Linked DNA regions of Mus musculus: all the other regions are reported to be linked to region 3. Evidence: microRNA targets listed by miRTarBase, many of them from high-throughput screens and not tested one by one. Region 3 holds a microRNA gene; each other region holds the end of a gene's coding sequence.
What was found. The annotated mature microRNA mmu-miR-743b-3p reads GAAAGACAUCAUGCUGAAUAGA and lies in region 3 at 1,628-1,649, shown strand. An mRNA with a match to its seed (bases 2 to 7 or 8) in the 3' UTR can be bound and repressed. Matches are read on the target gene's strand: a 7mer-m8 pairs with bases 2 to 8, a 7mer-A1 pairs with bases 2 to 7 and ends in A, and an 8mer does both.

Region 1: the mRNA of Ankrd16 is a reported target of mmu-miR-743b-3p. Seed matches in the 3' UTR shown: 8mer at 2,888-2,895.
Region 2: the mRNA of Nmnat3 is a reported target of mmu-miR-743b-3p. Seed matches in the 3' UTR shown: 8mer at 2,640-2,647.
Region 4: the mRNA of Tmem41b is a reported target of mmu-miR-743b-3p. Seed matches in the 3' UTR shown: 8mer at 1,210-1,217.
Region 5: the mRNA of Pgp is a reported target of mmu-miR-743b-3p. Seed matches in the 3' UTR shown: 8mer at 458-465 and 7mer-m8 at 1,041-1,047.

Annotation. Positions count from the first base shown.
Region 1 is chr2:11,789,091-11,793,157 of GRCm38, reverse strand. Ankrd16 (ankyrin repeat domain 16) reads right to left here. Exons shown (of 7, transcript NM_177268.4): 7 at 2,833-3,424. The coding sequence ends at 3,267. Among named protein-coding and RNA genes, the nearest start is that of Ankrd16, 13 kb to the right of the region's middle.
Region 2 is chr9:98,409,639-98,413,705 of GRCm38, reverse strand. It overlaps Nmnat3 (nicotinamide nucleotide adenylyltransferase 3), which reads right to left. Exons shown (of 5, transcript NM_144533.3): 5 at 2,278-3,629. The coding sequence ends at 3,265. Among named protein-coding and RNA genes, the nearest start is that of Rbp1, 11 kb to the left of the region's middle.
Region 3 is chrX:66,774,848-66,778,914 of GRCm38, reverse strand. Mir743b (microRNA 743b) reads left to right here and starts at 1,583; the gene lies at 1,583-1,659. Mir743 (microRNA 743) reads left to right here and starts at 2,097; the gene lies at 2,097-2,158. It also overlaps the pseudogene Gm14681.
Region 4 is chr7:109,971,174-109,975,240 of GRCm38, reverse strand. It overlaps Tmem41b (transmembrane protein 41B), which reads left to right. Exons shown (of 7, transcript NM_153525.5): 7 at 290-3,054. The coding sequence ends at 459. Among named protein-coding and RNA genes, the nearest start is that of Dennd5a, 13 kb to the right of the region's middle.
Region 5 is chr17:24,471,119-24,475,185 of GRCm38, forward strand. Pgp (phosphoglycolate phosphatase) reads left to right here. Exons shown (of 2, transcript NM_025954.4): 1 at 1-31; 2 at 124-1,992. The coding sequence ends at 449. It overlaps Mlst8 (MTOR associated protein, LST8 homolog (S. cerevisiae)), which reads right to left. Exons shown (of 9, transcript NM_001252464.1): 9 at 2,432-4,067. Bricd5 (BRICHOS domain containing 5) reads left to right here and starts at 2,766. Exons shown (of 5, transcript NM_175682.3): 1 at 2,766-3,120; 2 at 3,287-3,442; 3 at 3,521-3,622; 4 at 3,872-4,025. The coding sequence starts at 3,103.

The DNA.
Region 1 (4,067 bases), not on the chromosome of region 3:
TTACTTCAGTAGCAAGTGCAGAACAAAGAGGAGAAGCTGGGCATGAAGCTGAGTGTACCAGTATTCAAGGGGCAGACCCCAAGAGAGAAGTGTGCAAGGGACACAGAATAAGAAAAGGAAACTCAGAAGGCATGTACGATCATGCCTTCGATCCCAGCACTCAAGAGGGCCAAAGCAGGAGGACCACACACTAAAGTCCAGCTCAGGATGCCCACTGAGATCCTATCTTTGAAAAAAATGGGGTGGGGAGGGCTGTGAGGGGAGAAGATCAAAAAGAAGCAAAAGAACAAACCTGGAGTGAGTTATCTCTGGTACAAAGTCCAGAAAGCAGAAGGGACTAAGACATTAATAAGCCCAGAGTTAAGAAGCCTTTCTTAACCTGTCATGCCTTTAATCCCAGCACCCAGGAGGCAGGAGTAGGAGGCTCTGTGAGTTGGGGCCAGTCTTCTACATAGTGGGTTCCAGGACAGCCAGGGCTACATAGTGAGACCCTATCTAGACAATTAGAAAGTCCCTGGGGCCAGGCAGTGGTGGCACACACCTTTAATCCCAGCACTCGGGAGGCAGAGGCAGGCGGATTTCTGAGTTCGAGGCCAGCCTGGTCTACAGAGTGAGTTCCAGGACAGCCAGAGCTACACAGAGAAACCCTCACTCGGAAAAAAAAAAAAAAAAGAAAAGAAAAAGAAAAAAGAAAAAAGAAAAGAAAAGAAGTAAGTTCTCGGGTACTTCACAGGGAGTGGTCTGCACAGGGGATCAGCAGTAAAGCCAAAGCCAGACTGCAGCGTAGCAAGATGGGGCCTGTGAGCTGAGGTTCGAAATGTTGACTCTTCTCAAGGGAGTGTGTGTGAAAAAGGCTGCTTGAGATGGAATAATAACTATCTACAAAGCGTAAAAGCCAGAGAACAACATGAACAAACATGGGTAAGGTGTTCAGCACACCAGTTGTCATACATTAAGCACTCAATAAATATAAATCTCTAATGTATTCACTAACCACACTACAATATACTTACTCTGTACCAAGACTGTTCTAGGCCTCAGTCCTGACCCAAGCAGGTTAAATATCAATGGAAGACAGAGATAATAAAAAAGTTACTTGCAGTTTATATGGAATATTTGCTAGTGGTAAATACCAAGAAGAAAAAAACAAGTGGGAGGGGGTCTAGTTCTATTTTTGTTGCTCTGATAAAATACTCTGAAAAAAAAAAGCAACTCAGGAGAGAAAGGCTTATTTCACTCCCTAACTGTGCAGCAGTCCAGGAAGGGATCTCAAAGACACACCTGGAGTTAAAAGCAGAGAGAAATGAATGTATCGTGCCCACTTGTCTGCTCGCTGATGCTCAGCTCAATCTCTCCCCTCTTATACGGTTCAGGACATACTGTGCAGGGAATGACGCTGCCCACACTGGGCTGGGTCTTCCCATATCAATTAACTTAATTTTAAGACAATCCCTCACAGACACACGGACTGCTAACCCAATGGGAACTTAATGCCAACTTAGTGCGAATCATTAAGCTTCCCCTTTCAGGTGACTCTAGGTTATGTGAGCACTGAAGACGGTGGGAGCAAATGCTGCAAAAAGGGGTAAGGAGCATTTCAGGCAGGATGTCCTGGGAGAGTGACCTATTGAGAGACCCAAAGGAAATGAAGAAAGTAACCATAATTAGGGGGAAATACTTATTACCACATGGACTGCTATTAGTATTTCTGATCTAGTATTACACCCACAGTGTATTGTCATCATCTATCATTATTACTTTCTCTGCTACAATTAATGCTGTGATAACCACTACCGTCTCTGGCTGCTGAGTAATTTAAGCAGTGGCCTGTGGTAGTCAATGCTTACAGAGTCTAGTACTGGGAAGGGCAGAAGCAAAGGGACACAGGGGAATTAATTATGAGTGAAGAATTGCAAACAAGAAAGAGATAGCAGGCATTACAAGTCAGGCCTCAAAGCTCAGTGCTCAGAGCTTGGAAGTTTTGCAAATCTGAGGCTAGCACCAGGCACAGAAAGAGGCTTGTGCTGGGGAGGGGAGGAGGGGGAGGGGAAGGGAGAGAGAGAATATGAACAGGAATGGAGAGAATGCCTGTGTGTGTAAGGATGACCTTAAGCCCCAACATGCATACATTAAGTACCACACACCAGTATCAGTCTCAGACCCATAAGGCACGGGGACAGGGCGATCTCTGACGCGAGGGAGAGCGGTAATCCCGTCTGAGATGAGTATAGATGTACAGTGTATGAGAAAGATTATTAGATAGGATCGTGTTTCTACAGTAACATTTACCCGGTGGTTAGGAACAGGGGTTTATAAACTCCATAGGAGACTAATTAAGAGAAGCTGGAGGTCTTTGCTATTTGACAGGGCAAGCACAATATGGAGTGAGGGAGGTGGGTAATAGTATTAAACTAGTGAGGGTCAAATCCTGCTCATGACTGAACTTGTCTACTGAAACAGACAAAAACTCCTTCACATTTAAAATCTTCTCCCTGGGGCTGGAGAGATGGCTCAGCTCTGTGGTGCAGCACATTGACTGTTCCCTCAGAGGACCTGGGGTTGGATTCCCAGCATCCACACGGAGGCTCACACAACTGTAACTCCAGTTCCAGGGAATCTGCTGCCCCCTCTGGCCTTCAAAGGCACTAAGCATGCATGTGACACACAAACATACATGCAGGCAAACTATCCATTCACATATATAAAACAGTGTCTGTCCATCAAGTGTCTTTATAAACTTTGATAAAAACGGCAAAAACACGCCCTTCCTGGCAATGAAACCAAAGGGCCACATGAAAGCTACAAAGGAAAAAATTGAATAGGCCAACTATGTTTTAGAGCTTGAATAAACATCAGTTTATATTGTTTTATTAGATTTTTATATATTTAAAGACACATATATTACATTCACTCCCTAAGGATACACAAACCTCTATGTTTAACCTGATTCTCCTTGCAGCGTAGAAAAGCCAAGATCCGGGGCTGGTGATGTGCTTCAGTGGCATAGCACTTGCTGAGTGTGTGAAAGTTCTCAGTTTAACCCTCATTACAGTTTAAAAATGAAAAAACAAATGGCTACGTTCAAGATCACACAACATGCCAGGAATCCAGACTCCTGGTCATTCGACCGAAGAGCATGCAGAAGGAAAGGCAGCAGGAGGAGATGAAAACGCTGGCCGAGAAGGAACTCGATACCCTGTCTCTCAGCAACAGAAGGAGCAGAATATGAACGGCCTTGAACTCCATCGCCTCCTTCTTCAAGCATCCTACGATTTCACGTCATGGTCAAAGTCCTGAAGGATATCTACGCTTCTCGTGAGCTGCTGGGCCAAGGTGCCTGTGAGGTCTTCGGAATCCTTCAGTCCCGACTGTAGGAGGAGCCTGGTGCAAGCCACATGCTGACCTGCGCAGGCCAGATGCAGGACTAAAGGGAGACATGGGGGAATCTGCTGAGAACATGGACTGCACTCAGGAACAAATAGTGGATTATTCGGTTCTACTGAGCTTACGTTTCTGCACTCTGGACGTGAATACATGTGTATGTGCACTTGCCGCAGTGCCTGTGGCGTGAGGAGTCAGGGGACAACATACAGGAGCCGCCTCTCTTCCTGGTGCAGGCCACCAGGCTTGGCTGCATGTGCTCTCTCCCCAGTTGCACACATTTTACACTTTCGTACCCACCCATGGTGGCCTATGTTGGAGGGCAATTTTAAACTGACTGGGTTACAATTGTTTCTAAAGAAAACAAACCTGCCAGGATCGGTGGGACGCACCTTTAATTCCAGCAAATGAGAGGCAGATTTCTGTGAGCTCGAGGTGTCTACCTGTTTTATGTAGTGAGTTCCAGGACAGCCAGAGCTACATACAGAAAATCTATCTCAAAAAAAACCAAACAAACAAACAAACAAAAACCAAAAAGGAAGAAAGAAAAAGAAAAAAAAACTATCAAAAATAAATAAATAAATAAATCAGGGCAGAGAGATGGCTCAGAGGTTAAGAGCACTGACTGCTCTTTCAGAGGTCCAGAGTTCAATTCCCAGCAACCACATGGTGGCTCACAACCATCT
Region 2 (4,067 bases), not on the chromosome of region 3:
CTGGGAGTCGGCGTGCTGTGTTCTAATTCCTATGCAATGGCATCGAGTGCTGTACAGTGAACATGACTCCCTGAATGGTTGAGGCCTCTCACTGGTCTTCTGTTAAAGAAGCTCATTCAGATACTGCAGTTTCTTGATGTCCTTAACTGAGAAAGAGAAGGGGAAAAATATAAACTCTCCCATCTCCATCGTTGTCTCGAACCAGTGGGTCTAACTGCAGTAGAACTGGTATGTTTGACAAATGTATTGGGCAGTTGTGTTGCTACATTTGTGGGATGTTAGGCATTAGCATCTTGTGCACAGAGAAAGGAGTCTTACAGTACACAGGCCAGGGAAGTATTATCCAGGCAAAGAGTTGGACAGCCCTGACTGTCCGTTGTTGAGGCTGCAGCCCCCTTCTCTACCTCACTTTTCAGATACCACTGTCTGCATGCAGGCTTTGTTCTCTCCCTTCTCGACTCATATATAACAGTGGGGTGATATGGCTCAGAGAGCAGAAAAGATGGTACTCATTGGAGTGTCATGCGGTTTCAATGGTACCCTCAGCTTAATGAAACAAGTTATCATTTGATGCTGCAGTGAGCGATGCTGAGGCCAATGAGGCTCATTAAAAAGCTGAATCTGTTGGTCCATTTGCAGGGGCCTGAGAGTCTTCCTGGAGCCAGCTCCTGGGAGAACAATACAACATTAGCATCTACAAATGATCCCCTGGCCATTGGAAGTTTCCAGTCTGGCTAGATGGGTACGGGGCCCAAAGAAGGCCCAAGAGGCTGAAACGGAAGCATTCAGTCTTACAAACTCAGGGTTGAGCTGGGAATGGTGCTGTGTGCTCTGAATCCCAGCACTGAGGCAGGAGGATTGCTGAAAAACTGAGGCTAGGCCAGTTTAGCTTACCTAGCAAATTCCAGGCTAGTCTGTGTTAAGAGTGAAACTTTGCCAAACAATAGTCCCAAACAAACAAAACCAAATCAAAACAGAAGCTCAAAACCCAAGCTAACTAACTATATGTAATATATATTATATACACATACATATACTCTTTCTTTCTTTCTTTCTTCCTTTCTTTCTTTCTTTCTTTCTTTCTTTCTTTCTTTCTTTCTTTCTTTCTTTCTTCCTTCCTTCCTTCCTTCCTTCCTTCCTTTCTTTCTTTCTTTCTTTCTTTCTTCTTTTTTTTAGTAAGTAAGAAAGAAAATTATAGTTGGAAGAATTCAGAGTAGGCTTAATCAAATCCTCCACTTTGGAGTTAGAGAAACTGTATAGCCTACAGTGGTGAGAGGAGTTGAAGTCCTACTATGTTCTGTGGCAGGTTTTAGACAAGGCTATTCGATCCCTATTTCCCTGAGTGAGCACGGCTCTCGGGGACCTCTTGGAGGGGAGAACCCAGGCAAGGAGGGAAGAATCCTGCAGGCCCTCACAGGAGCCACTGTGCTCTGTATTTCCTGCTTATCTGTTTCACGGCTCACACGAATCCTGGGAGTTTTTGGGGAGGGAGGGCTATCAGATCCTCTTTGCCTGCCCTATTGCTTTTCTGTGTCACTAAATATGTAGCCAAGCTGGGCCAGGACGGAGCATGGAGACTCAGACTCTGTGCTACTCCTTCAGCAGGCCCAAAGGTGAATCCAGGAGTGGAGTGGGCGATCCCAAACACTTCATTCTCCTCCTTCAGGGCACACAGAAACACCACCAGGGCCTGCTGCCTTAGGTTGGAAGACTGCTTGGGGTCTGCTAAGTTCCTTCCTAGTTCTAGCTCCATCTCTTTAGCTGTGATAAAACAGTTTGACCAAAAGCAAACTAGAGAGGAAAGGGCTTATGTCATCTTATACCTCCAGGCCACACAGTCTGTCACTGAGGGAAGGCAGGGCCGCAACTTGAAGCAGAAACTGTGGAGGCATGCTGCTTGCTGCCTGGCTTAAGCTCACGCACAGCTAGGGCATTTAGATAGCTCAGGACCACCAGCTCCAGGTCTTGCCCACAGTGTGCTGGATGCTTCTACAGTAGCTAGCAAACAAGACAACGCCACTGCACAAACCTGCCCCCAGGCCAAAATCTGATCCGGCTAATCATTCAATTGAGACTTCCTCCTGGGTGACGCTAGGCTGTGTAAATGTGACTAGGACAGTCCTCTATTTCCAGTGCTCAGGACACAAACTCTTAAATTCAGGCCACTTCAATTGGAATGGGAGCAAATCTCACAGAGTATTTAAAAAGAAGAGCAATCCTGGATCCCTGGGCATGAATAATATAACAAAGGAAGAAAAAAAAAAGAGAAACTTTTCATTAGTATTTTTGATGTCAATTTATTATTTATCTTTTTGCCAATATTCAAACAAGCAGGCAGTCATAAAACATTCAAAAGATCTTCTAAAACAGTCAGGCATCTGTTTTACTTCGGTTCCCTTTTAGAAATCAGGATATTGGGAACCCTGGTGCTTAGAGTATAGCAGTGTAAAAATACATGGTGTATCAAAAATATTGCTTGAGGGGGCTGGAGAGACAGCTTAGTGGTTAAGAACTCTCTTGCTGCTCTTCCCTAAGACTGGAGTTTGGGTTCCAGCACCCACATCAGGGGGCTCACAACTGCCAGTAACTTGGGTTTCAGGCACTCTGATGTCCCTCCCATGTGCATGTACACACGCATGTAAAGACACATGCACACACACACATACGCTCATATGATAAAACAGATCTTAAACACATATTGCTTGACCACAACATAGAAAGAAGGTAGTCAAAAATTTTATGTTACACCACAGGCAGGTGGCAGACAGACAGACAGGCAGGCAGGCCATGGTTACAAGGGAGGATACATTGGAAATCAATGATGTTCTGTTTCCAGATTTCTGAATCCTCACTTGCTATTATTGTTTGAGCCGAGGATGTTGAAAAGGTCCTCTGCTCAGTAATTAGCGCCCTGTCAAACTCTGCCTATCAAGACCAGCATGCTGCACCTGGCCCGAGTTATAAAACAAAAAACAAAAACAAAACCCGAACGAAGGCGACTTGATGGACCCCTCAGGGGCCAACCATGCTCAGGACAGCATCAGTGTGCCTCCCATGACTGCCATTTACACAGTAAGCAGGTCTCCTCCTTAGTGACCCTAATCTTATGACCTGTCATGCCTCTTAAGTTGCTCTGATACTCGACTGTCTCTGCCACAGGCACGATCTCTTCCTGGAGTAGGAAGTCACCCATGGTAAAAAAAAACCACTGTGGAAACAAACCCAGAACCCAGAGCAGAATACCCCTACTCCCCAGGAGGCCCTCTAGCCAGTCTTTCCTTTCCCTTTCCAGGAACCGTCATTGATGTAGAGGCCCTGGTCCCTGATGTAGGTGATGACGGCCTCAGGGAGGAGGTACTTCACGCTCTGCCCTTGTCCCAAGGCTTTCCTGACGTATGTGGCACTGATCTCGTTCAGAACGGGTTCCCTGGCCAGGTGAATGTTGTGCTGAAACTGCTGGAGGATGGGCGAGTCCGAGATGTACCTTTCCGGGTCATGACCGCTCCTGCTCACGCACACCAAGCCGAACTTCTCCACTATTTCCTGGATGTGCGTGTCTTTCCAGAGGTTGGGGGTCTGGAAGGTCTTGAGGACATCAGCTCCGCAGAGGAGTTTCAACTCTGGCAGTGCTGTAAAACAAGGGTGGGTCCCAGCAAGGTTACGGGAATCTGAAGTGATACTGGGGCCCACAGTTATAAGTAATCATTGCAGCCTCATGGCTTCGGGTTAACATTGACAAATTGTCAAGACAAGAAAAAAAAAGATTTTGCTTTCCAGTGCTCAGTGCTCAGACAGAAGTCTGTCTGTAGCTGCTTTGGACCAGAGCAGACAAAGTCCCAGAGGTGGCCATGCTGTCCCCAGAACTTGATTATTTGCTAAGCAGTGAGAGTTTTAAAGTCCCACGAAGATGAGGCTGTGGTCGTTGTATAAGTCACCACCCCTGCATTCACTTCAGCCCTTGTTATTACATTATTATCCCGAGGACCTAAAATTTTTCTACAAACCCCGTGAAAATGTACAGGCTCTCTGGACAACTAACAGGCCACTAAGATCCCGGTGGGTGGCCT
Region 3 (4,067 bases):
CATTGTGATATAGGACAGATACCAGTCACTTTCTACTAACCTCTCTCAATATAAGGATACAGAAAAAAGTAAAACTTGATGAAGATGATGAGGACGATGATGAGGATGATGAGGATGATGATGATGATGATTTTGATGAAGAGGAAACTGAAGAAAAGGTCCCAGTGAAGAAATCTGTACGAGATACCCCAGCCAAAAATGCACAAAAATCAAACCAAAATGGAAAAGACTTAAAACCGTCAACACCGAGATCAAAGGGTCAAGAGTCCTTCAAAAAACAGGAAAAGACTCCTAAAACACCAAAAGGACCTAGTTCTGTAGAAGACATTAAGGCAAAAATGCAAGCAAGTATAGAAAAAGGCGGTTCTCTTCCCAAAGTGGAAGCCAAGTTCATTAATTATGTGAAGAATTGTTTCCGGATGACTGACCAGGAGGCTATTCAAGATCTCTGGCAGTGGAGGAAGTCTCTTTAAGAAAAGGGTTTAAACAGTTTAAACAGTTTGGGGTATCTCTCTCAATATAAGGATACTCATAAAGTACTGTCATTGTAAATGTAAGAACATAGATGCACATGCAAGAGTATTTTCTGATTCTAAGATCGATTGTAGCTACCTTCACAGGACATTGTTTAGGTGAAGATATAGGGGGAACCTTTCATCTAATTCCTATTTCTCATAGGTGAAAATATTTAAAATTAGGGACATAGCACTATGGAAAATAAGTTTAGTTTCATTTTAATTTTTAAGTGCTTTTTAAATTAAAATATTTTATAATTCTCCCCTTTCGTTTCTTCCCTTCAGCCACTCTAATCAACTAACCCCTTTGTTCTCTCTCTCATTCATGCCCTGCTTAGTCCATATTTTGAAAGTTTTATGTATGTTATTTCAGTGCTGACCATGGAAAAGCAGTTGGTGGGCTCTTCTCTGCTGAGTACTATTTCTCCTGAAAGCTTTTTAGTGTCAATCCCTATACACATTAATGTCAGTGAGACTTAAGTGCGTGTACACATGGTCTCTCAGAGTGAGTAATGTTCAACAAGCTCCTTACTTTGTATACCCTGGACCTTATACTTCGTCTTCAAAGGCATCCTTGAGATTGCTACCATTTTCATCATTTCTCATTTAAAGCCCCACTTTTTTAGACTTAAAAGGTGCTTAAGGTTGTACACATGCCTCAAAATGGTCAGAGAGTGCAATTATAAAAGTAATATGTTTATTATTAATGGATATTTAATATCAGCAAAATGAGATAAAAAATTGGGATCACAACATTCAGAAGGAGAAATGAAAGGTGAAGGATTTTGTCATTTCCTGGACCTGTGAATAAAGAAATCTAGTGTTCACCTATCACACTAGACTACAAGAATTGATGAAGGCTCATGAAAACTAGTATATACTGTATTTATCTTCACAGCATACATCCTCAAGGTGAATTTAGACAGGATCCTCAAATATGATGGTTATTACTACATGGTAGAGAAAAAAAGATGAAGCATCAGTCATACTGATGCAAAGCATGCAACTAGTACTTAACTTTTTGTCCAGGACACTGAAATAGGAGTGGGAGAGGGCAGTATGTTGTGTGCAGTGCTGTGTTCAGACTGGTGTCCATCATGTGAAATATTTGTGAAAGACATCATGCTGAATAGAGTAAGGCCCATGATATTCTTCATTTATTATGCCTTAATTGGTCAGAGTGGTGCAGTGCAGTTACACTTGACATGAATCCCTCATTGTAATTAGTCATATGTAACCCTCAGGATCCATATTTATCCAGAGTATAATTTTAGATGTTCAATTTTTACACAATTATAACATGTAGGTTAAAGAAAAAAATACTTAGAAGAAACTAAACCCACAATCAACAAATGATACATCTTTTATCTATGTAGATTTGAGAATCAACACTGTAAATAGAGACCAGGACATAGTATACAGTGAAGAACTAGAAACTCATAGCCTACTGTAGGAATGTTTTCTAATATATACATATAAACAGAAGTGAGTTTTCATGTTGAGTGGGGCAGAATGATTTGTGTGACATGTAGATGAAGGATCTGGGGCAGAGCATTCTCATTAAAGTTCTTGTATGCAGTGCTGTATTCAGATTGGTGCCTGTCATGTTTATAAGAATGAAAGACACCAAGCTGAGTAGAGTAGGGCTTATTGTGTTCTTCATTGCAGGTGGTATTATGTGGTCAGGGTGTTTTATCTGTAGTTACACAAAATGTAACCAGTCCTAATCTGTTACCTAAGTACAATTTTGATTCCCAGTGTTAACTTTATAGCCGCATATAGATTGGAGAATTAACACAAAGTTTGGCAGTCAACCATATAGTAGGACATAGTATGTTATGTACAAGGAATATTCCCTAAGATAGGAATAAATATGATATATGTTAAGGTTTTATACTCATTAAGGCAGATTGATAAATAGGATACTATTAGGACATGATTGAGGCCCGCCCTACATGCTAAAATTCTATACAGAGCCATATTTGCTTAAACTGTTAACCAGTTCTTCTGTGTGAGTAGAATAAGTCTAACAAGCTGTCTCATTACTTTTAGCATAGTGATTTTTGTATAAGTACAAATATCCTAGCATTTCTGATTATGGTGTTCTTTGACTTTTCTGGGCCCTAGGACACCTTCAGGGTTTTTAATGGTGTTGTTGTCACCTTCATGCTTTTTGTTGTTGTTGTTATTCAAAAATTCACATAGGTCCGATAAAATACAGAAGGAAAATTCAATTTATTTATGTGCTAAAAAACATACTTTTAAGAGCCTAAAGCACAGTCTTTAGAATAATTAGATTGTATGCTTGAGGCCCTAAGTTTGGCACGTGGTCTGGCAAGAATGAAGGAAAGGGTATTAAGCTGAGAGTGATGATCAGTTATTGGTACTCAGAGTTATTCATCTTATTGGAATGCAGGAAGAAGATGTCAAATTATATATGCAAGGTGATGTATAATGAGTTTTGCATTCCCTAGGTGTGTTCAGGGTTCAGGCATCCTTCCTGATGTCATAACTTGTACAAGTGATGAATATTATTAGAGGTTATAGAGTTGATAGAGTCAGCACTTCTACATTTGTTTTGTTTCTTTTTTTCTGAAAATGTTTAAGATATATCCTGACCACAATTTCACATCCCCCATCTTCTCTGAGATCCTCCCCACCTTCACTACCAGATTTCTTTATCTTCCTTTAGAAAAATCAGCAAGATAAATGAGTGAATAAAGAATAATTTAAAATGCCCAAGAAACACATTATACACATAAAGAGAGAGAGAGAGAGAGAGAGAGAGAGAGAGAGAGAGAGAGAGAGAGAGGAGAGACAGAGAATACCTACAAAATATAATTGAGTTCATATTGTGTTGGCTGTATAATTCTTGGCATAGAGCCTACAATTAAATGTGGTTACTATACCCAGTGAGATGAAATTGAAGAAAACAATTTTTCTTTGTAAGTAGCTGTCAATTGGAAATAATTTATTAGTTAATGATGGGAATTCATATCCATTTTCCATGCTCACTCATGGGAACATGTTTGGTTTGAACTTGTTCAGGTCCTGTGTATTCTGTCACAGTCTGGATGAGTTCATATGTGCATCAGTCCTGTTGTATATAGAAGGTCTTGTTTCCTTGATGTTATCCATTACCTCTGGCTCTCATTGTCTTTCAGCTTCATCTTCAGCACAACTCCTTGATCCCCAAGGGAAGGTGTTTGATAAAGACCTCCCACTTAGGAATGATTATTTCATACCCCTTACTCTCTACACATTGTTCCAAGAAAAAGAAGCATATTTGATGATATCTGAGGAAAACACTGATCTATACATACTATAGAATATCATTAGGAGTCATTTTATTGTTATGGTCCTTTACAGAAAAACTGGTTTTCTCTAGGCTCACGGCCTTTCTAGTCTCATGTTTTTGACTGATTGTATAGAATTGGATGTGAATTCTGTCTCATGGAGTGGGCCTTAAGTCCTATTATAAAGAGGTTATGTTCTGCCACAACATTTGTACTACTTTTTCACCAGCATGCCTTGCAGGCATATCTTTGTTAT
Region 4 (4,067 bases), not on the chromosome of region 3:
TGCTGAGCCATCTTTGCAGCCCCAAGACTAACTTGCTATGTAGACCAGGCTGGCCTCAAATTCACAGAGATTCTCCTGCCTCTGCCTCCCAAGTTCTGAGATTAGAAGTGGAGGCTCACACCTGTCTGTAACTCTAGATCTGATGACCTCTTCTGGCACTGGGTACACACGGTACACTTACATACACTTGTCACAAAACATGCAAACATGAAAAAATGGTGGCTTTTCTTTTCGTGACAGGCTGCCACTGCTCCTCACTCTCTCACTGTTGTCTTGTTTTTTGTTCTAGGTGTTGCACCTCCTTCTTTTGTAGCAATCAAGGCAGGAACAACTCTGCATCAGCTTACAACAGCAGGGGAAGCTGTTTCCTGGAGCTCGGTATTTATTCTGATGGTTTTGGCCCTTCTTTCTATCCTGCCAGCCATCTTCCAAAAACAACTAAAGCAGAAGTTTGAGTGAAAAGACATGGCTTTTCCTTTACCACCGCCATCACTCCTGCCACCACCACTGTCATCTCAGGATTAGCAGGTGTATTCATGTTACGTTTGGACATCACCTCTTCAGTCACTGAAAGAAGGACTTGTAAAGTAAAATAGCCCATGAGAGAGAATGCACATATGGGAGAACAGAAGTTGGGGCCCTATGAGAAGTGCTGTCACCTGCACCTGACCTGTGAGAGTCACTGTTCCAGGGTTAGCTCTGAGACATCACTCATTGTCTTGGTTTGGAATTCTTACTCTAAATGATTCATTTGAAGTGTTTTCCTCTTACATCTGACTAATGACTAAAATCGTGAACTCAGGTACAGTGGAACATACTTAAAACTCCAGCTGCCCGGGAGGCTAAGGCTAGCTGTGAAAGTCACAAGACACCCTGTATTAAAGTAAAATAAGGAACAGTGAAGATAAAATAAAATAAAAATTCAGAGCACAAACCAAATACTTGAAGCAAAAATGAGTTTTCATTTTCTTTCTCTTTTCAGACAGCACTTTCCATAGGCCAGTGTATGTAGCAATGATGGGTTATTTAAGTTTTCCTTGGAAATTTGTATCATGGATTAGTCCAATAATTTGAATTCTGGCCAGTCTGTTTTCATCCTTTTTTCTAGGTTTTGCAGTATTTCCACCATACATATAGAAAAGGAGAATTATATATCTGTATCATATTGGTGTTGATAATGTATATTAAGATAATGATATTTTGTTACAGTGTCTTTATTATCTCAAAGGGGGTTCTAAAGTAAATACTCAAAGCATATACTTTTTAGACATTATTTTATACTGAAACAACTGACAGTAGGTAGGACATTACTGATTAAATCTAGTTTATTTGTTCCAATGACTGTAAAATTTGCCTCATAGATTGTCTGGTCATTAAAGAATGTATTGTAATTACCTTTCATGCATGATACATCTGCGATTGCTCTGTTGCCTTTCCTCTGATGACCTCCTTGGGGCAGCACTTGATTGGTACACTTTGCCAACTGTAAAGCTTCTACTTTCTCACCTTGACATGGTGACTGGTGTCTCCCATTTCTTGGAGCCTCCCTTTGGCTGCTTTTGTTCCCTGCCAGGACAGACCCATGTAAAGCACTAAGATCTCCGTTGGTATGTTGAACACTTGCTTTAGTGGAGTGGGAGTCCTTGTGTCTTCAAAGTCTGATCATCTCAAAGCCTGTTTCTCCTGCAAAGTGTGGACTAATCCTTCTCTGTCGCAGTATTAATGTTACAAATACAAGGAAGATAATACTGATCAATATTGTATCTGTCTTCTGTCCTTTTGTGTTAAATTGTTATGTTGTCTTATTGACCAGAGACTGAGTGATAAAGCTTTTATTATTTTTACAAATGAGTTAAACACATAGATGTTTAGGACAAAGTCTACTAATATTTATGTGATATTATTTATGTGATATATATATATCATTGAAGTCAGTCATGTAACATGCTTGTAATTCCATGACTTGGGAAGTAGAGTTTCATGTTTAACTTTGGCTACATAGTGAGTTTGATGCAACAATCTGGGCTATATAAGAACCTGTCTCAAAAAATACATGTATATATTAATTCATACAAATTTTCAGCAGGCCTCTAAAGCTCACATTTTGGAGAAGCACTGCTGTTTCTTTGGGTTGTTATGGTGCTTACTCTATGCTGAGAGTGTTCTCTCCATCCTCTAGTGCATGGACTCTTTCCCTTTGCTATGTTTTTTCCTATACTCAACAGGAGCTACCACTTTAGTTGGATGTTTTCTTCTCCCAGTAGAGAGTAACCATTGTGTTAACATTTTACCCTTGGCTGTCAAGAAAGAACTTGGACCAAGCATTGTGACTAATTAATGCCCAGTGCTTGGAAGGCCGAAGCAGAAGGATAAGGAGCTTGTGGACAGCTTGCGTTGCCTGAGGCCTTGTCTCAGGCAAAAAAATCTCAGCAGTAGATTGTACCCCACAATCACCTGTATGCCACCTGTGTTCATTGAGCACAGACTTGATATAATGACAAATGTAAGTCGTCCAAGATTGAAACACTCCCTATCTTCGGTGCCAGAGATCCCAGGGCCTTGCACCCTAGGATTTAAGCCTGACCACAGCCATAAGAGATTTCCTAGTAATCCCAACAAAACATCCTATTGTAATGGAAAGGCAAGCAGGCTAACTAGGCATACACTGACAAAGACAGTTTCCTTCTTAGTTACGACTATTTATTTCCTGGAGCTTTGTTACTTTGAATCTAATATATCCATGATCTTAATAAATGTAAACTAGCTGGGTGGTGATTTTTTTTAATTACCATTTTTTATGAAGCCTTTTATTTCTTAGAACTATATGTAAGTCTATTAGAAGTGTTTCAAAATAAGATTAAAGATCAGTATATGGGGTGCTGGAGAGATGGGTCAGTGGTTAAGACCACCACTGCTCTTCCAGAGGACCCAGGTTCATTTCCCAGCACCCACATGGCAGCTCACACTTGTCTGTAACTCCAGTTCCAGGGTTTCTGATACCCTCACATACATGTAATGAACATAAATAAAAACACATTTCATATTTTAAAAACCGAAGATAATTTTCCCACCAATGATGTTTGAGTGATCCAGTTTCCCTGGTTAGTAGCTATGTTCATAGTAGACCAAAATGGAAGCAACCCAGATGTCCTTCAGTGAATGAGTTTTTAAAATTAAAGCAAAGTTTAAAAAAAGTTCAGTGTAGTGGTACATTTAGAATCCCAGCCCTCAAGAGATAGAGGTAAAAGGAATAGAAGTTCAAGGCTAGCCTGAGCTACATAATAAAACCCTGTCTCCCAAACCAACAGAAAAAAAATCTGGTGTCTCTCCTCTCTCGGTTTGAGCTACAGCTCAGTAGTAAAGCTTTTCTACCATATCTCAGACTTCTAGGTTAACCTCTGTGGGGAAAACACAAAGAGTAGGACTAAAGAGACCTACTCTTTGGCATGGGGATATTTACCTGAAATACTAGATTGTGGCTAGAGAGACAAACACATTCAAGGCCTGCCTAGGCTAATAGTGAGAACCTGTCTCAAAAACACACACAGGGCTGGAGAGGTGGCTTTTCCTCAGATAACCATAATCTCTTTAAGAATGGAAACATGGCCCATGACTAGTAAGGTTGGTCTGATTTCCACAAACTCATGTCTGAAGAAAAGGAAGAGTATCAGGGACTGTGGTTCCGTAGTTAGTGTGCGTGTCTTGTGTGTATTGTGCCACCCTAAGTTCAATCCCCAGCCATGCAGCAAGAGAAAGAGTAAAGGTGTCAGGTGGCGGTGGTTTGCAGGATAGTAAATGGTGAGGGTAGCCAGTTTGTACCCAGTGACATAAGGGAGAAACTGGGTCTGGAAACCTGAAGCCTGCTAGCATTGCAAAGCCCAGGTTGTCAGTGTTCTACACTCACAGAAGTGCTGTTGAAAGCACTCCGTGTGGGAAGCCAGAGATCTGAATTGAATCAGTGATGGTGAGTTCCTGTCCTCAAGACTCCAGGTTTGCTTCTTTTAAATAAAGGTTTGGTGAATGCCTACAAGGTTTGTGTTGTGGCTTTTAAATTGACCACAGGTAAC
Region 5 (4,067 bases), not on the chromosome of region 3:
CTCCCGCTAGAGAACGGCCGTTTCATTGCGGGTCCGTGCACCTAGGGGCTGGAGGTTGGAGGGCGGGCCCAGCCCTTCCGTGTCCTCTGACCCCAGCGTCCCCTTCCCTCCCTCGCTCTGCAGGTACCGGCTGTCTGGTGCGAGCCGTGGAGATGGCCGCCCAGCGCCAGGCGGACATCATCGGGAAGCCTAGCCGCTTCATCTTCGACTGCGTGTCCCAGGAGTATGGTATCAACCCGGAGCGCACCGTCATGGTGGGAGACCGCCTGGACACAGACATCCTCCTGGGCTCCACCTGTAGCCTGAAGACTATCCTGACCCTCACCGGAGTCTCCAGTCTTGAGGATGTGAAGAGCAATCAGGAAAGTGACTGCATGTTCAAGAAGAAAATGGTCCCTGACTTCTATGTTGACAGCATTGCCGACCTCTTGCCTGCCCTTCAAGGTTAAAGATCTAGTGTCTTTAATCTCTGGAATAAAAAAAAGAAAAAGAAAATCAGCTACCTAAATTAATAGTGGGGCTTAGAAATTGCTCTGTTAGGTGGCTGCAGGTTAACTGAAGTTAATAAGCAAAGGCAGTAGTTAATCTTGTAAGTAAACGTTGGGGGGGGTTGTTTACAGAGAATTATATTTTAAGATGCACTTTTAAGCTTGGAAGGCATTATGGGGTGGGCATAGCATGTGCCCAACATTCAGGTAACCTCAGGCCCTGTTGCTGAGACTGAAATGGGTCAAGGGTTGTGTGTCATGCTTTTTACTGAAATGTAATCAGGGATCAGGCCCTAAGGTGGGCAGAGTTAAAAAGGGCTCTTAATGACACAGAGACCAAAAACTGGGGTTTCCCCTAATGATCCTGCGGCAGAGGCGCCTGCTACTGCGTCCCAGTTCCTCACCTGTGGGGTGGGAGCGCTCTATAGCTGGGGTTTGGATGCCAACCCCGACAGCCTCCGCTACTCTGCCTCTTTGACATCACAATTGTCTGTTCTGTTTCAGATGCTCAGTACTGCAGACCCTCATGCACAGTAACAGCCCAACTAAACTTGTCTTTTGTGAACTTGGCCTAGGTGTCTTAAGTGTGGCCTGCTGAGCAGCTCCCAACACCATGCTGCTTTCCCGGGAGCTCAGAACAGTTGGGTTGTTTGGGGTTTTGTTTTTTTCAAACTAGTGAACAACACTGTCAAGTGTGAAATTGGATCTTACGCGTGTGGATTAATAGTTGTGCTGTCGCAACGGTAAACCCCACTAAAGAAATCTCCTGTCCCAGTCAGCAGCATAGCCAGTGTGCTAGCCGAGGATTGTCTTGTTTCCCAGAGTCCTCTGGGTAGGCAGGAGTCAGTCCTGAGGATAGTTAAGTCTCTAAGAAAGCAGCCAACCCCCCCCCTTGTCCAGGTCAGTTTTGTTGTAGACAGGTGGACTTCCTTGTTGGTGGCCAGCCATAAGACCTACTAGCCAGTTGGCTTCTCAGCATCTCTGGCCTTTTCCCCTGCTCTTCCAGTCCCTGACCTTTCAGTGTTCTGAGCAGACTGGGAAGTTCCTTTTGGCTGACTCCTTTCTGGCACCATGCCCTGTACCAAGTGGCTATGCTCATGGCCACAGGACTTCGCCTGCTCACCAAGTTCTCAGAGCAATAAAAGGTATTCATCCATGCCGGAAGCTGCTCCCAGGTCAGGGGTGGGAGTGGAATGGTGCCATGGATCAACAGGACCTACTCACCAAGTTCTCAGAGCAATAAAAGATATCTATCCATGCCTGAAGCTGTTCCCGGGCCAGGGGCGGGAGTGGAAGGTGCCATAGATCAACACGACTGTGGTAGTGCCTATGACATTGGTGGTGCTGATCCTTGGAGTCTGGATAATGACCAGGCTTGGCAGGTGCGTAGCCAGAGAGACCCTCCTCTGGACAAACCTGGAGAACCTGTGTGTGTGTGACATTTCTAGCTTGTCTTGCTGTGTGATCTCAAATGCACATTAAACTCTCAAACCCATGATGATTAGGTCTGCCTTCCTCTAATTTCTTTGAGAAGCAGTTGTCTAGCTATGAGTGGGAGCAAGGCAGGAGCACTGAAGGCAGGCTGGGATTCCAACTCTAAAATCATTCCCAGTGGGCATGCCCACCTGCAGCCCCACCCTGTCTATAAGGAACAGGTGCTAAAGAAACTGGAAATACAAGGTGTAAAGTACTGGGATGTGTGTACAGCTAGGCCACCAAGTCACAGAGATAAGTGACCAAGACAATAGAGCTAGAGTAGGAAAAAACATGCTAGGGAACAGAGGCTGGCTTAACTAATGTGGAGCAAGGTACTTGTTCTTGGTCCAGCCTGAAGCACACGATCGTGCACATAGAAATATCAACAGCCCCATCTGATGCTAATGGGGGTCTTGAAAGAAGCTTGGGAGTTTGTGAGGGAAGGTAAGAAAGCAATCGGCCTCACACTGATGGTTCATACACATTTATTGATAGTTCCGGTGTCTAGCTCAGGAGTCCGGAGGCAACACCAAGAAAAAAAGTCTGCCCAACCAGATCAAAATCACCCTGGCGAAGACCTAGCCAATTCTGACTTCAAGGCCAGCTCTAACACACACCAAGACCCCATGTTCTGCACAGGCCAAGAGTCCAGAGACAAACTAGTGACCAGCAATCACATGTGGGGGAGAGGGTTGTCCTGGCTGAGGCAGGATATCAGATACTGGCTGGGAAGGAAGCAGTGGGGTTGGAAGGGGAGGATACAGTTTGATTCATCAAAGGCATCCTGAGGTTTCCCTGGCTGACTCCTCCAAGGGGCTGCAGACAATCAGTGCATTGTCAGCAGGGGCTGCAGCATGAAGCAAGGGCGCATCCACACTGAGAGCCTCAGGTCCAAGCCTGCTGAGGTAAGTCTCTACCACCCCCAAGACAAGAACTCAGGGATGCCATAGAAGAAAGGAATGTTACCACATACCATCCTCAGCCCCTTCCCTGAGTCTCTAAGCCAGAAGCCCCACGGCCAGTACTGTGCCCTCAGGTGAAGACCAAACCCTGCCATAGGGGCTGGAGAGCAGCAGGCCTGCTGCTGCTGCTGACACTGCTCACTGCGGGGGCCGTGGCTGGGGGGCTTCTTGGCTTCATGTACAGCTCTCCCAAGGTAAGCACCTCTTCAAGCCTCGGGGTATGCAGAGTGGGAAGAGGGCAGGAAGGCCAGTACCTGTCAGTTCTCGCATGGGGCCAGGTCTAGATACCAGCCTCGAGCAGATAGAGAACCAGAAGGATGTGGAAACATAGGTTAAGGCTGAATCCCAAATATCCCTTAGCCGTTGCTGCAGATGCTCCGAAAGACCTTCCCGAGCTCCAGGGTACCCTGGCCCAACCAAACTACTCTAGTGGATGTGGCCCAGAACATGGCAACCATCGTGGTGACTCCGTTTCAGAGCAACCACAGCTGGGCTGTGCTGTTTGACGGGCAGAACGTGAGTGGGCTTGGGAGAGAGAGAGAGTGGAGGTGTCAGGGGTGGCCTCGACTTACCTATCTGCCCCGCCACCCCCAGGGCTACATCTGTTACCGCCCTGCAGAGCACCAAGCCTGCTTCCTCCGTCTGATGGAAGCCCAAGATTGGGAGACCCTGCAGCTGCTGCTGAACACTTCCAGGGTGAGCAGTACTACTTGGCTTGCCACCCACAAACCCCCAAGGCCAGGGGATAAACAAAAGGTCCTCTGTGCAGTCCAGCTGGGCCAGCCAAGGCTCTGGTTTCAGGGGAACAGAAAGCTCTATTTTCCCCTGACTAAGGCTGTTGACAAGGGCAGGTGGAGGGGCCATCAGCCTGGGGTGGGCACCAATACCCTTCCCAGCCAGGAGCAAGGAAGTACTATACGGTGGTCCACCAGAGTCTTTCTGCAGGCCCAAGAGTCACATGTACCTGGCCGGGATACCCACTATGCCCAGGAGCTGCTGGCAGTTTTGGGGGGCCATACTGTGGACCCTACCCAAGTGGGAGTTTCAGTGCAACACCTTTGTGCAGACACTCCCATCTACTGGACCCAATGGGCAGAAGGTAAATTGGGATAGGTTGGGTGAAGAGGACTATGGCTCCTGT